Drosophila melanogaster: one gene and its partner. The protein of the gene in region 2 interacts with the protein of the main gene of each other region in a pairwise test. Each region holds a gene or a part of one and is shown on either strand. Other genes may lie near its edges.

Region 1 (5,785 bases), 9.8 Mb from region 2:
TCGAATTCGCCGCAAACGAGACGCTTCACTGCGCAGCGAGACGGGTCGCCAGCATATGCGGCTTCAGTGGCGGCAGCTTCAGCGGCGGCCGCAGCTTCAGCAGTAGCACCGATAGCGCCACTAGCACCACTAGCCTCCATAGCATCGCCCCCATTTGCGGCCCAGCCGCCGCCCTTTCAGTTGCGCACCTACCAACAGAATCAATCCTACCGCTTTCAGCCGCGCGGACACCATCGCACCGCCAGCAGCAGCATGTCGCAGTCCGGCGAGGATCTCCACTCGCCCACCTACCTGTCCTGGCGGAAGCTCCAGCTTAGTCGGGCCAAGCTAAAGGCATCCAGCAAGACGTCCGCCCTGCTCTCCGGATTCGCCATGGTGAGTTTAAACTCTTAATTATTGAGACTTTATACTTTACAAAGGGTTTATACAATACATTGACAACTGTTGTTTTAAAATTAATGTACGTAAATATCAAAGCAACATCATTATACAAAGCTAATTTTTCATCGAAGATACATAATGTAACAAATTAGTTTAGTTTTAAACTGAATCTCTAAAAGAGCAATTAACTTATAGATACCTTGGAAATGCACATAAAAATCCATTATAAATTACATTTCGAAGGAAAAGCGATTTGGCGCAAAAATCACATTAAGTTGGGCATTTATGTGTATTAAAATGAAACAATTAGGAATTATTAGGCTATTTTGTAGACTACAATTTAACTACTTTTTTGCCCTAGGTTATAGTTCTATGTTTTTTTTTTTAACATTAAGCCAACTCAATGTGCAGGGCCAGAAATGATGGCAAAAACCACATAATCTTTTTATTTGGACATCGCATTTCTGTTTGTTCAGCACAAAAGGCGGAAAATGCCACCACGAATATGGCATACACTGTAACAAAATAATTATTGTTATTTTATAATAAGAGTGGTTTCCACTTGGCGTATCGCGCAACGGAATGCAATCTGTTATTTGTTCCGTTTGAGTGCCCATTAACCTACTCGCAGTCGCATTTAAGTAATTTCAATCATGACAGGGATATATAAATATATATATATGTATATATATATATATATATCATACATCAATAATTAGCCTTCTGTACCTGTGAATATTGCTAACCAACATAATTATTTTCGATGCCGGCAGCAAGAAATTGAGGGCCAACGAAATAGATTTCGTTTTATTCCCACTATCGTTTTCTTGGCCAAACAAGTCTGTTAGCTGTTTGCCGTGCATATACTCGTATGTATTTCTCACCCATTAATTATGGGTAGTTTAGACTATTGCAATATTGTAGCAGTTTTGCTGAAGAGGAGCAAATATCAAAGCAAATATCAACATACATCATGATACATTCGTTGGTTTCCCAGCATTGTTAAAATTCCCACTTATTGTCTAGCAATTCCACACACGACACAGTTAAATCTAGATAAATTATTAAATTATAGTATGCAGTACATAATATTAAATAAATCAATTGGAAAATGTGCAAGTATTGCAGGTGCTGAATTATTATATTAATTAATTGAGTGACGAGGTATTTATATGTCGCTTTTTTTTTTTGGTTCATCAACTTGTTATGCATTCCACATGTACACCTAGCATGCTGAAGAAAGGGAGGCGCGGCATTAGGGGCGGATCAGATAAATTAGGTCCATTCAGATCACATAATATAAGAGAAAAGTTGCTTATTTGCCAATTTTGCAATGTTCTCGCGAGAAATGGCTAATAATAATAAGAGGCGATGCCGGGGAATCGTTTCGATTTCTAACCAAAATTAAATAAAAATCATTAATGACTTTCTTCACTTTTGCAATTTTCACATAGGTGGCGATGGTGGAGGTGCAACTGGATCACGATACGAATGTACCACCGGGCATGCTGATAGCCTTCGCCATCTGCACCACCCTCCTGGTGGCGGTGCACATGCTGGCCCTGATGATCAGCACCTGTATCCTGCCAAATATTGAGACGGTGTGTAATTTGCATAGTATTTCCCTGGTCCACGAATCGCCACACGAGCGTCTCCATTGGTACATTGAAACGGCGTGGGCATTCTCCACGCTGCTGGGACTCATACTCTTTCTACTGGAGATAGCCATCCTGTGCTGGGTGAAATTCTATGACCTAAGTCCGCCGGCGGCTTGGTCAGCGTGTGTGGTCCTCATACCGGTGATGATCATCTTTATGGCCTTCGCCATTCACTTCTATCGCTCCCTGGTGTCGCACAAATATGAGGTGACAGTCTCGGGCATCCGTGAGCTGGAGATGCTCAAGGAGCAGATGGAGCAGGATCATTTGGAGCATCACAATAACATACGAAATAATGGCATGAACTATGGCGCATCCGGGGACATTGTCTAGCATCACTTGGCGTATCCGCACAAGTGGATCGAACGAAAAAGACAGCGGCTCAGGGTAAGCTTCAGATTATTTTTAGTGAAACACACATATTGTAAATTTGTAGTTGATTAAAATTGTGATACGCGGAATTCAGTAGATTTCTACTATATATATATATATATGTGCGAGTGCTGCTGTAGTCCTTTATTTTACTTATGGCAATTGCGGATTAGCACGGATATTGACAATGATAAAAGACCCCAATTAAAGCAATACTTCGGATGAATATTCCTCAAAAAATTAGCTGATATTTGTTACATATTTATATTGCGTGTATTTTAAATTGTATGCCATGCCGGATTTTCTTTTTTTGCAACCATCCTTAGGCAGTCTTCCCTTTTTACGTTTAAGACACAACTTGATTGTCAAATTTAATATTAAGCCAATTGTGTAAGCGAAACCGCGCTGTAATTTATACCATATAATTTATGATTAAAAGAATTTTCTATATATATGGTGTTGGAGTTTTATTTTTAATCGTGATATATAGCTGAACAATAGATGCGGATTAAAAGAATGCAAAATTTTAGAGACAATTTGATATATTTTATATGCAACATAAAACAATTGTAAAATAAAGTATTTGAAAATGTACTGCAATATTTATATACGAATTATATTCATAGGTATTCCAATAGTTTTGGAAAATATAACAGTCTATTTTCGATCTTTACCGATGTAAGCTAAATAGCGCTGTAATTTATATACGACTGATTAAACGATTTTTACTACATACACTTAACCGGAACAAACGATTTTCTATTGAGCCAATGTCTTTGGCCTCCTTAAGTTAGCGTGTCGCTGCTGGAGGAAGCCAAATGGTGGCAAGACATGCTGCTGCTGGCTGGGGGGGTTCGATTAGACAAGTGACACCACCGCACGCACACCGCCGCCTAAAGTCGGACGACACCACATGGCACCGCCGCAATTGGACGGACTTGCTCCCGCGCTCAGTCATCGAAGACATGTCGTCGCGTACGAGCGGATATAGTAGTGGAGTTCGCTCTCAACGTTATCCTGGTGGGCAGTACCAGGGCAAATGGTTGGGCCAGCAGCCTCACGGGTTTGGGGTAAAGCAAACGAGCAGTGGACTTGTCTACGAGGGTCACTGGCAGAAGGGTCAACGGCATGGCATCGGAAGTTTGCGTCGCAAGGAGCTCGATGGCCGCATGGAACGCATCTACGTGGGTCAGTGGCGGGAGAACAAGCGGAGTGGCGAGGGCAAGCAGTTCTATCCGGACGGATCCGTCTACTTTGGTCAGTGGCTAGCGGACCAGCGAAGTGGAGAGGGCATCCTATGGCAGGCGGATGGCGGCATCTATGTGGGCGAGTGGCTTCGGGACAAGATGCACGAAAAGGGTTTACTTTTCACGGGTGAGTGTGATAAAGAAATAAGATATGTTCCTTTGGATGTATTTGTTTCATTTTATTTATTTTTTCGCAACTTTAAAAATGCATAAAGATTATAGATAATAAGTTAATATGTTATCCATAGCAACGGGAAATCGCTACGTGGGTCAATTTGAAGGAGGCTGCAAATCGGGCTCAGGTGTATTTTACCATGCCAGCAATGGACAGCGGATTCAGCACGGTTTTTGGAGCAAGGACATCTGTAGAACGTCACTACTGTCCCTGCCACAAGATAAAAACAATGAATTTATGTCAAAAGCTCTTTTGTAACACTTACACACAATATATATATATATTTAAATACCAAGACATTTTCGATAAGAATAAATACGAACTAAGGAGACTACTATCTAATCAGTGCCGATGCCGTGTGCGTGTGCTAATGGACTCCGTTTCGGGAGCCTGTGCTTCCAAAACCTGGCGCCTCGTTCGCTTGGATGAAAGAGTCGCTGTCTTTGGTGTCTCTACTGGTTGGCGCAGCCTGGCTCTGGTGCTCCGTGTACTTGTAGTTATTGTCGGCGTTTCTACTATTTCCAAGCTATTATCCAATGTTAGGACTTTACAAGCTTTGGATGTGGCCTTGGGTTTTGCCTTCTCCCTACTTTTTGGTTGTGTCTTCTTTGTGGACACCAAAGGTGAATCGTCATCGTCGCTTATCTCGATCGCTTGGCAGGCATTTAGATCCACGTGATCCGAAGGCGGTGTATTCTCTGTTCCGCTGCCACCGCTGCTACTGCAACTGGTAGCACTTGGTGGTCGTAGTTCCAGCTCCTCGTAAATTCTGAATCGAGGTGCCTTTTTGGCCGACTGTTTAACTTTAGACGCCGTATTCTTGACTGCTGAAACCGATCCTATTGCGGTTCGTTTCTTATCTTCGGGTGAGTGATTGAATACCAAAGCACGTCGAAGGATTTTGACCTGTGGCTTATCCTGACCCACGGGTTTGAGTTCTAACTGAGCCGTCTTTAGCTGAGCCAAAAAATTGTACTCGAAGTTAATGTCGACCGCGCGTGATCGCATTTTAAGGCCCAATTGAGCCGTTGATATAGCCTCTACATGCTTTCGCGCAAAGCGAAGATAGTTCAGATGATACAGCTGCTGGGCATGCAACATGGGATACAAAGCGCTACTCATCGGAGGTTTTTCCTGCATCCAACTATGCGCTCTTCCATAGAATTCGTCCAATTGTTCGCTGTTTCTCTGCAGAAAGCGGAGACGTGCATGTAGACAGCCCGTTACAAAGTACAAGCATTGCAGCTGGGAATTCTCTCGAAGATTCGCTGGCGCCACATCGAGTGTTATGTAGCGATCCAAGTCCAGTTGGGGATTTGGGCTATGTGGTCGCATTTTGAGCAGATTCGGCGAGGCCATATTTAATAGCTGCTGCTTTCTGATCGGCTCCACCAACTGGAGGAGATGCATATTACTAGCCAGATCTCTAATTGCTACATCCTTAATCGCTTCCTTTTCCGGCCTACTCGTTGGATTCAGCTGTTTTATACCTAAACAATGCTCGATGAGTCTCAACTTCGATTGCGCCTTGTCGAAACTTTCCATTTGCAAATTGGTCCATAACCATGCAAGGAATACCTCTATGGCTCTTAAAGCCAAGCCAGATTGGAGTACCAAATGTAGTGCAATGTTGGAGAAGGACAGTCTTTCGCTTAATCTGTTCGCAGAGCACTCGGTGCTTTCCCTGACAAGAGTCGAAAGAAGCAGCTGCAATGAGCCGCCATCTAAACTGGATAGATTGCAAAAACTTCGCACATTGTCCAGAAGAATGTCCAATTGACGCAGAGGAGTCGGCAGCCTGCAATTCGTTGGCTTCCTTTGCTGATACCCAATTCGAAAGCGCACCGTTTGCAGTGTAAGCAATACAATATCACTTTTTCCTTGTCTCTCAGGAAACTCTTCGCGAAGTTGTTCCACATGCAATAGAAGCAACTGGGCATGACTATAGCATT
Region 2 (10,797 bases):
TCTGTTTTCAGGACCCCTAAAGATGAGAGATTACCAGAAAATGTTTTCTTAAATTTTAGCGCAACTAACTAAAAGTACTGATTCTAAAAATATTCCTGCTTACTAATTTAATTTCACAAATACGAACAACTTAAGATATAATAATATAATAGATATGGAAAGTTTGATGCACTATAAAAAAGGAACCATCGCGGTCTTCAAGCATAAAAATATCCCATGCAAATATAATTTAGTTATTTAGAATGACTAGTAATTATAAACTAAATTGACCCATTAGCTTATAAGCCAGGATAGTTTTTTTTACGCCAAATTATAAATAGCAACACCTAATTTAGTAAACGAAATGAATGCTTTAAATCTGCACAAAGCTATACTTAACTCACCAAAAATAGTTTCGTTAATATATTTGTATGAGATGACTGACTGCTGACTGAGAGCTCACCGTCGCAGTTGTAAGCCATGAGAATATCGTAGTTGAACATCTTTGACAAATTGTTTTTCAGCGGTTCTATTCGACCTTCTGGCCTCAGGATGCGGTGAATAATATGAGCCTGGAAAACAAAAAGATCAAGTTTGTAATACCCCAATAATCAGGCTTACGTTTTGTGCTATTGCCCGGCTTTGAAAGATTCGCATCCAGATTGGAAAGCTCGTCGGGATCATACACGGGAAAATAGTCCAGTTCCACCTTGCAAAAGTCATTTTGGTTTTTTAGGATCTTTTCAAGCTTATTTTTGCAGCTCCTCCATTGCATCTTTCAATATCTCGACGTCGTCGTCACTCGAATATTTGGGGCATTGGTGTGTGCTCATTGCTCGCCTGGGTAAATATACTTAATGTTTTGTCATCAAATGCAATATTTTGTCCATAGTTTGGTAAATGAACTGATTTTGTTTGTTTTTTTTTTCAAAAGTAGTATGTTTTGTTGATGATAGAGGTGTGCAAATGCCAACAACTTTTCATTTGGTATCGATATACCACTTGATTTAATACGAGTTCAAAACCTTTTAACAAGGAGCATACAACATATTTAAGATCGAAATCAGCTTCTAATAGGTAAGCTGCTTATATTAGCTAATGGAAAATTGGATAAATTAGCTTTTTGAAGCCTTTTAATAATGGTATAGAAATGTTATCAATTTAAAAATTAGTAAAACTGATTCGTGGCACCGCTAGATTTCTGAGTCCAGGGCTGCATGCCCAGATAAAGCCATATCGATCGACTAACGAGCGGTCACATTAAAAGTGCGTTTCTCGGCGCATTTGCAGGTATTGAGTGTGACTCCGTTTTGAAAATTTGTTTATCCAATTTAAAGCCGTGACCGGAACCCTGCTGAGGTGTTAAAGTTTAGTTTAAGTGTCCCCCCACCTGTGCAACGTGTTTTCGACATGTCTCCCGGGGGCTTGTCAGCGAAAAACTCGGTTGAAAATTCAATAGTGGCCGCTGTCTGGAGCGGCGGTCGTCGTCAATTACTGGGTCCCTTGGTTTACATAAGAGCGAAAGAGTCGGCTAGTGTGGCGTTGCAGAAATGGCGTCGAAGTATGTGCACATGGCTGGGTCTATTAAGGCTATATATCCCGTTTGCCCCGCAATGTGCAACTGGGAGTGCGTTATCCTTGCCGGGTATGTCACATATTGGACAAATTTCGCCAACAACGAATCGTACATTTCGCTTATTTCGGCGCAGTGTACGCCACTTTGTCCGGTTTTGCATTCCACTTTGTGCGCTTCATTCGGTTTCAATGCCCTCGCATTCAGTGTTGCCAAGTGCCGGAGCGTACCTAGTGATGTGTGCCATCCGAGTCCTGCCGTGAATTTGTGCGTTTGTGCAGATATTGTAGCTAACGCTGTTTGCCCTCTCTAGGACCTGCTACCTCGTTAACGAATCCAATCATTGTGCTCCGATTGTTGGTTAATTTAACGGCCTTGCCAAGTGCCGCTGCGCTTTGTTCGCACCTGGCAACACTGGTCAGCCCGCGCTGGTGCGGGTGCGAGGGAGATGCCGCTAGGACAGATGCAGAAAAGCGAGCACAAAAGCGAAAGCGAAAAACCGAAGCGAAGAGGCCAAGGAGTTTATAAATCAATTTTTGTGTATGTCAGTCACCGCGATTCCCATTGCAATTGGTATTGAGTAGTTTCCGGGTCTCGGATCGCAGTTCCCCAGTTCCCGTGGTCAAATTTCCATATCATGGTGTACGTGCGAAATGCGAAACCTGATGGAAAAGTGATGGCGACAGCGGTCTTTTGTTTGTGTGCGGCAGTACGCGCGTGTGTCTGTGTATGAATAATGCATGGAAAGGCGTTATTCACGGCAAACGTTGATAAAACTGTTTTGACAACAAAAATTGAGTGATTCAGATATGCACTTGGTATCGGGGTCGCCTCTCCCGCTCTCTTTCCCATGAACCACCCCCCCTGGAAATGCCAACTGACGTTTCGGCTTGGATGCGTCGTGGTCACGTACCCCGCCACCCCCTCGGCAATCATTCTGTTACCTGTTTTGCCAATACACTTTTCACCCCCCTCATTATTTTTGTTATTTCTGAATGCTCGCTTTGTTTGTGCGTACGATCTTCCCTTCCTCTCGCACTTCTTTGCTTCGGCGTGTGTCTGTTTGTTCACGTTCTTTCATTCTCTTTTATTAAATGTACATTGAACTCTCATCTTGCCAACTTTTCCTTTGCTGCTCTCTTTCGGCCACTTGTTTAGCCATTTTAACACATTCCCAGATAAAAGCTGTCTGGATTGTGGGAGTTTACCATTAATATTTCCACGCCGACGAATCAAGATTTAGATCTTAACCATTCATTATTCTCTATCCAACAAAAAATTTATGTAAATGCGCTGTAAATTCCAATTGAATTTCTGCTATATTATAGTTGAATATCAACTAACAGAAGCGAACCAGGCGGCTAACTTTCTAAATCAGCAACACCAAAAATCATTACTTATTACTCTCTACTTATTTGCATTGATCTTTAGATATTACTATTTTACTTATAGAACATTAAGTAAACCCAGAGAGTCCCATACTCAGAATCCAGTCAGCACAGACTTAAATTTTTATCAGTCAGTTTGTAGATTCCCTGGTTTTAAGATCGAATCCTTCATCTTTTTCGTATTGCAGCTAATTTGTATATACAGTGTACATAGAGATGAGCACACAAACTCGTTCAGGCGGCGGGGGAGGCGGCGGCCATGCCCGCAACCAGAAAAAGTCAAATGCCAGCAACTCCGGCGGAGGAGGAACCGGCCATCACGATGGAGTCTCACATGCTGCGGCCGCTGGCAAGAAGGGAGGCCAGGATGCCAGCAAGACAGACAAGCCAGAGAAGGCCCAGCCCAAGGCTACCACCGAACAGTTGCGCATTGCCCAGATCACCAATAGCACCACAGAGGATCCGCAGATCAACGAGAAGGTTCTCCTTCTTTTGACCATGACCCAACGTTCCGAGGAGGAGGTCTGCTGTGCCCTCAACGAGTGCGATTACGACCTGGAGGCCGCGGCCAACTTCTTGATCGAGGAGCTACCGCAGGTTAGTTTCGATTCTAATCTCCCGCGCTCCAGTTATTCAATTGAATCTGTTTTAGGGCGCCTTTGCCAAGTACGAGAAAAAGCGCAAGAACAAGGCTGCAAATAACACGGCTGATGGTGCTGCTGGCGATGGCGATTGGGCCGATGGCAATGGCAATGCGGACAGGCGGGAAAAGTCGCGAAACCGCAGCTCAAATCGCGGAGGCACCCGTGGCTCCAGTGACAGTCGTGGATGTAAGTATCATAAGCCACGCTCATTTACTAAAACGTTTCTTAGGGCATTACTAAACGTTTTGGATCTTTAAGCTCTGCATTACAGTTATTGTAAAACTGCTAAAAATAACGTTTCTTTTTATGTAGAACATATATAAAAATTAAGATCGTTAAATATTCCAATGCTGATTGACATTTAAGGTTCAGCATTTGTTGGTCATGCGCGAGCTGTAATTAGAGAAAATATTAAATTGATGAAATAATTTTAGTAAATGATATTTATCCTAATCCTCTGAACATAAATTAATATTTGATTTCTAATATTGTAGGGCGCGGAAGAGAGACTCGTGAGAATGAGCGCAACCAGCGCGAATCTCGCGAACCTTGGTCCGGGCAAAACGCTGGTCAGGACCGCGGTGACGATCGGGCAAATGACAACTACCGCGGGCAGCGCAACGGCGGCGGACGCAGTGGTCCCGGTGGCGGTGGACGCGGTGGTGGCTTTGTCTCTCGCTCTGGCCGTGGCGGCGGCCGCATGGGGGGACGCACCGGTGGACCGCGTGGCGATCGCGGCAGCGGAGGCCCTGGTGGTGCTTATGGATCAGGTCGCGGTGGCAATGCAAACGAGGATCACCACGAGGTTGAGCTGTGGGACAACACCATTGCCCAAAATGCCGAGAAGCAGCAACAGGCTCATGACGATGCCTGGGGCGACTGGAACAACGAGGAGTACGAGGGCTCGCTCAAGGACAGCAAGGTGTTCACCACTAGCAACCTGGCAACGCAATCCGCTGCCAACGTGGTTAGCGGAACTGGCGCGAGTGTTACAGCTGTTCCTGCGGCGGCTGGAACCGAGATATCGGCGCCACCGGGCCTTGAACATCAGTTGGTGCAGCAGGGATCTCATCTGGAGGAGAGCTCCAGCAGCGGCCCAGCGGCGGTCACACCGCCAGCAACGCTGAGCGGCTCGGCGACCACGCCGCTGCTGCAATACAGCGCAGCGGTCAGTAATCCACCGCCCCAGCTGCAGTCCCAGGGCACACAGTCAGGAGCGGGTACAGGAGCGAGCGCAGCTGCCGGCGGAGGAGCAGGCAGCACACCGTCATCCTTTGTATCCGCCTCTCCCGACACATTCTCAAGCGCCGCCTCGGCAGCTGCCACGCTGGTGCATCAAGCACAAAAGCAGCAGCAACTTCAGCAGCAGACGACGCCTATCAAGCCGTCGGCTACTTTGTCGGTCGAGCAATCTCAGTATTTCAACTCGTTGGCCAGCCAGGGCGTCAGCCCAGGTTCTGTTCCAGTGCAATCGGCGCCAGCGGGTTACGCGCAAAACCCCGTGGCCGCCTACTCCCAAACTAGCACTAGCGTGGGTGTGAGCCAGTACCCCAATACCTATGCCAACGTATTCGCTTCTGGAACGGCAGCTGGAGCTGGCACTGCCGAGCAATCGCAGCAGCAACCGCAGATACGGAGGGCACGTGTTAAGCTGCCACCACCCTCGAAGATTCCTGCGAGTGCCGTCGAAATGCCCGGAGACAATGCACTGAACAACATTGGCTACCTGGACGTGCAGTTCGGCGCTCTGGACTTCGGCACGGACGATGGCTTCGAGCCATTGCCGGAGAAGGTTGGTTCGGGCTTTAGCATTGATGGTCAGCAGCAGCAACAGCAGCCAGATGACTACCAGAGCAAGTCCCAGCAACAGCAGCAGGTGACGCTAGCGGCAGGTCTACAGAGTTCGCAGATTGTAAGTACCGTACTGTATCCTTTGAATCACCCAAGTAATCATCGTCACCATGATTTAGTTAATACGATAGTTTTTAGCATAGTGCATATATTACTGAGAATCTAATAGCATTCCTCATTTATAGAGCGATGCCTTAAATGCAGCGGGCTATACAAGCCGTTCGACGTCACAGCAGCAGCAGGGCGTTAGCTCAGCGGTGAATGCCACAATCGATCAGCTGACCAAGAGCGATCCCTACGGACAGACGGGCGGCAGTGGTAACGCCTACCAAAACGCGTACCAGAGCAGTGGAGCGAGTAAGACAGCCAGTGGCTTTCCGACGACCGCGCCCGGTGGCTACAGCAGCTCCACATACGCGAATGTGCAAAGCTCAGTAGCCAACAGTTACCAGCAGCAGGGATACGGCTCATACCAGCCCAGTTCCTACCAGCAGCAGGCTGGCAGCGGGGCTCAAAGCGGTACAGGTGCGGTAAGCGGAGGCGGAGGAACGGCGACGCAAAACATTCCGGTTGGAGGCAGCAGCAGCCAAAATAGCACGAGGTATGACATGATCCAGTATTGATTGTTTAATATTTAATTCCAAAGGGTACGTACCCTTGCAGAGATTCGTAGTTACATATTTCTTAAATTTAAAAATTATTTCTAAGCAACAAGTCGATTTGGCAAGGAACAACTAACTATACTCAGCAAGGGTACAAACCTTATCGAATATATCTTTTACTTCAAAGTTTAAATATTTGTGTGTATGCAAGTTTTGCTTAACAATTAGCCCCACCCGAAAGAGAGCTAATCTTCATTTTGTTTACTGTTTTTCTTCTCTCCTAACACATTTAATGCTCGCTTATGTCCCAAAAATCCCAAACCGCAATCGCGCTCCGCACCTAACAGCGGCAATGCGAGCTCTGCCTACCTCACATCCGGATATTCGACACCACAAAGTGCTTACCAGTCAAGCCAGAGTGTTTATGGCAACACTGGACTGTCCAACAGCAGCGGGTAAGTACCAAATGTGACGATCCCAATCCCAATACGATCAGTTCCCTGGGGATGACACGTACCTTATTTTGCTTGTTTGGACTGGTTCTGGTTCCATTATGCTTAATTGCGGCTTCTCGCCCGTTCGTTCAGGTTCTCTGGCAGTGCGAGCAACGCGTCCTCGCAGTACGCCAATTTCAGTGCCAGCGCCAAGCTAAAGGATGCGACCACGGCCAGTAGCGCCGCTCATTACGACAGGTAAGAGCGAAACCCCCGCTCTGCATGCCCCGCTTTTTCAAATATTCCGACTAACCCAACCCCCTGGTCATATCCCACTTAGAGGCGGATGCCTGTAGCACTTAATGTTGATCTTATTGACCTTTCAGTGTCTCAACCAGCAGCGGAGTGAGCAGCAACAGCGGAAGCACAGGCAATGGCGGTGTGGTGAGCGGTCAAACAGGTGCTAACCAGGCGGCTGTATCGAACAGTAAGTAATCGATGATTTAATATCAAACAGTTGAGGCCCTAAAGAGTATGCATTGCAGTCATTAAGCTTTCTGGTATAGAAATCCCATATCAAAAATATTTAAAAACAAACTCACAATGTCAAATCTACTTCAATCTAGCCACGGCTTTGACAATACAACTCTCCAAAATAAATATAATTTTTGATTCAAACTTTTTGTTTAGCTGAAATGCTCTATTTTTGGCCGAATTCTTAGTATTCGCATTTAAACTAAAACCTTTCCGTCCTCTCCAGATAACAGCGTGAGCGGCAGCAGCTCGGTCAGCAATGTGACGGCAGGCGTTGCGAGTGGCAACGTAGCTGGCGTGGGCGGAGGCGTAAGCCAGAGCGGCGTAAGTAGTGGAGTCGGCGTGCCCGGTGGCAGCGCGTCCAGCGTCGGTGTGAATGTGAACAACAACAGCAGCAGCGCCAGCTCGGTGGGAGCAGCGACCGTTGCCCAGACAGCCACGGGAACCACCGCTGCAGTGCTGGCCTCGCTGACCAACAAGAACACCAGCAGCAGCAATAGCAGCGGCAGCGGTGGCAGTGCTGCCACGACGACGGGCAACGCCAGCGGACAAGGTGCGGGAGCAAGCACCGGCGGCGTGGGCAGCTCGTCGGGTGCTGGTGGTGCTGGTAGTGGTGGTGGCAGCGGTAGCGGCTTGGTGCCCACCAACATCCAAATGGTTAGTCAATATATTCAGACTGGATTGCCATACTATCAGCAACCAGTGTATTCCTACGAGGAATTGCAAATGATGCAACAGAGAGTGCCACATGTGGTGAGTTCATGGAGAAAAGCAAAAGCAAATATCAAACCAACAACTACATAATGCAACCGACCAATCAACCGAACCGTTTCTAATCAAACAGTAATCGTATCAATATGCTCCCATTATACAACGTTTTCGCATTAGTCAAGACCTAGTTCCATTTAAAATTTAAACGCATACGACAACTGCTCAGCGCATCCCAGCTCGCCTCCCGCTGCTGATCGAAATCGTTAATCCGGATCCTGGCTCGTTGACGTTGCGGCCTCCCACTCCTAACCGTTTCTCAGCGTGCATTGTACATAATAACATACATATACCGCGATGTCTGTGATCAAGTCCTTATTATACCACCTCCTAAAAGTCTGTGTCTGTTTGAATATGTATGTGTGTGTGTGATTGTGTAAAAAGCTGACACTTTCCTTCGCCACCCTGCACCATCCGCTTCCGTTTTCATCCAGTTCCACATTCCTGGCATTATCACAAAAAAAAAAAGATAAACAATCCACATGTATTGCTTACCTCCCAGGCTCTGCTTTACACTCAAAATTAACCAAAAACTAATCCGAACGTTCTTCCTCGTTTCCATCTACAATGTAGTTGTGGAATTAGGGATGCAAAGCCAATTCAAATCGAAGAAATATAACCTTAAAATATAAATATATATATACTTGAATTACTTTGCATCCCTAACTACAACGAAATCTGTGCTCCTTACTGACCCATTTCATTCGATCACTAACATTTTACCCTTTTTTTTTTCTTCAACCTAACATCTGACTAATGTATAAATTTCTTACATTGAACATAACGTATTTCATTTTGTTGAAACTGGTACACGTGGTTTTGTCAGACCTTTATCACATATTTATTTTGTTTCGGTAAGAAGTTCTGACAAAGTGATCCGTTCATCATCTTCACAGCCATAACACGCCCAGAATGCTCGCGTGAAGACGAACCTAATGCTATAATTCTCAATTGCAGCAGGGATATTACGATCTGAACTATCCGCCGGCCAGTTTAGGAGCTGGACGTGACAACCTCGGCTCTGTGACGTATTCTGCTATGAATGATGGACGCTTTGCCCGCACTGACAATAACTCCAGTCCGGTCGGCAATGTATGTGCTCAGCTTAGATAGATAGATCGATAGATGGTAAAAATGTTTATTTTGCAGGTCTCCAGCACAATGTCGCAACAGGCTGGCTCAAGTGCGCCCATGCTAAATGTTCCTTACGCCTACTTCTATGGTGGCAATGTAATGCCCGGTAGTTTTCAATATGGCACGCCCGCCATATATCCAGTAAGCCTATTACATTCAAATCACTTTGTATGCAGTATCTAATCAACGTCTAAACTTATTCAATTTCAGCAAATACCGGCAGCAAACACTGCCTCCGGTCAACAGTTCCCGAAGCCTTCGTATAGCGCGGGCTACGGCTCGACCAGCTATGACACTCTGTCGCAGACCACGCAGGACTACAGCAAGGGCGGCTACTCGTCGAGCGTGAATCAGCAGAGCAAAACTCAGACTGTGTCCAACCAGTCGCAGGCAGGCACTGGATCCGATCTGACCTCTTCTATGTACGGAAAAGGACACGTGGCGCTGAACAAGGTTAATGTACGTATGGTTATAAGCAGGGCTGTGGATTTGGATGCAGGTCATCATAGCCTGAATTCGATGTTAAAAGACTTCAATTATCTTTGAGCAAAAAACAATACAACAATAAGATTTCACAGCCCTGGTTAAAACACCTTATCTCCCGACGTGTCTACATTGTACCATTGTATTTTTCGTTATTCAGTCGTACGAGAAGCAGAGTTTCCATTCGGGCACTCCGCCCCCGTTTAACATGCCCAACACTCAGACGGCTGGAGGCACCTCTGCCCAACCGTACGGCATGTACTTGCCGATGCCAGCGGCCGGACACCACAATATGATCCATCAGCCCATCCACCAGGTACATTCAGAATTACCACTTCAGGTTGTTGTAGGCGGAGGGACGGAAAGTCATGTTCTCATTCATGGGAATGTGAACGGTCCTCAAGTTACATACCACCGGATCTGGCAAACCGAACCTGTCCAGTGTCAGAATCAGCTCGTTGCCGCTCATTGCAATAACTTTGAACCTAATATCGACTGCTGTGTTCATGACAATAACAACGACTTGTCCTTCTTCGCCGACTGATGAAATGCTTAGGGAACTCATCTTGTTATTGTTAACACATCAATTTTATTTTCACCAATTGTGTAGCTGCACACCCGCCAATACATTGTACACTTGTTGACTGTGATTACATATAGGTTTATGTCCTTAAATAAGCTTATACCTACACTAATCCTGGATAATCACACTTACCAGTTTTTTTTTTGCCCTGTAGCTATGGAGTTGATTTGTTGAACCGCATGTATTTGTAAATTGTTTCCATTATCAACACTAACCGCCAAGCATATATTTGTAAGTCCTCTATTACCTATCTACGCACATCATCTGTAAAACAAACACCCAAAGTATTTTATGTGTGACAATCATTAAACCTTTTCTTTTTCACCTGGGATCGTTACTAACAAATAACATTTCATGCATTTTCTGATACTTTGAAATTGATTTGGAGCATCAGCAGAAGTACGAGTAAAGAGTGTCCTTGGAAAGTTTGTTGGCTTAATTCATACGACGGTAGTGAGGCATATAATTGAGAAATGCATGAAACTGTTCTATTGTTTGACTTTTCTTTATAATTTCTTTTAATTTTTTATGGGACAACTATTAGATGGACGGCAGGATTCATAGCTCATCCCGCCGGGTAAGTTCCTTTGTTGTAATCACGTGTAAAGTTGCTTAATTCTTGGTGAACTGCATAATTTTAACCCTCCCACGCATGTCTCATACCCATGTAATCTGTCGCATCGAAAGAATATGTTACGTATCATCTAGTCTCTAGTTGCATGTTTACCACAGAAGCGGCGACCAATAAAAGATGTCGATTGCCGAAAACGGGTCGTGCCGCACCGCCATAATCAGATGCATATCCATATTCATGTGCCTTTACT

What was found.
Region 1: the proteins of lig (region 2) and CG14490 interact in a two-hybrid assay, tested with the Drosophila melanogaster proteins (one large-scale study listed by BioGRID).

The regions. Positions count from the first base shown.
Region 1 is NT_033778.4:17,857,423-17,863,207, forward strand, and holds CG14490 (uncharacterized protein), read left to right. Parts: upstream 1-3,337; 5' UTR 3,338-3,376; coding exon 3,377-3,785; intron 3,786-3,850; exon of another isoform or gene 3,851-3,906; coding exon 3,907-4,091; 3' UTR 4,092-4,169; downstream 4,170-5,785. Other genes in the region: orai, read left to right, coding at 1-375, 1,836-2,372; thr (three rows), read right to left, coding at 4,176-5,785.
Region 2 is NT_033778.4:8,066,743-8,077,539, forward strand, and holds lig (lingerer), read left to right. Parts: upstream 1-3,086; 5' UTR 3,087-3,156; coding exon 3,157-3,537; intron 3,538-3,592; coding exon 3,593-3,770; intron 3,771-4,078; coding exon 4,079-5,496; intron 5,497-5,620; coding exon 5,621-6,036; intron 6,037-6,384; coding exon 6,385-6,492; intron 6,493-6,624; coding exon 6,625-6,729; intron 6,730-6,857; coding exon 6,858-6,958; intron 6,959-7,231; coding exon 7,232-7,758; intron 7,759-8,669; coding exon of another isoform or gene 8,670-8,675; exon of another isoform or gene 8,676-8,730; coding exon 8,731-8,865; intron 8,866-8,922; coding exon 8,923-9,048; intron 9,049-9,117; coding exon 9,118-9,366; intron 9,367-9,550; coding exon 9,551-9,934; 3' UTR 9,935-10,300; downstream 10,301-10,797. Other genes in the region: CG17977 (uncharacterized protein), read right to left, coding at 8-16, 384-551, 601-702. UniProt on the Drosophila melanogaster protein: Acts in the nervous system to mediate the control of copulatory organs during courtship.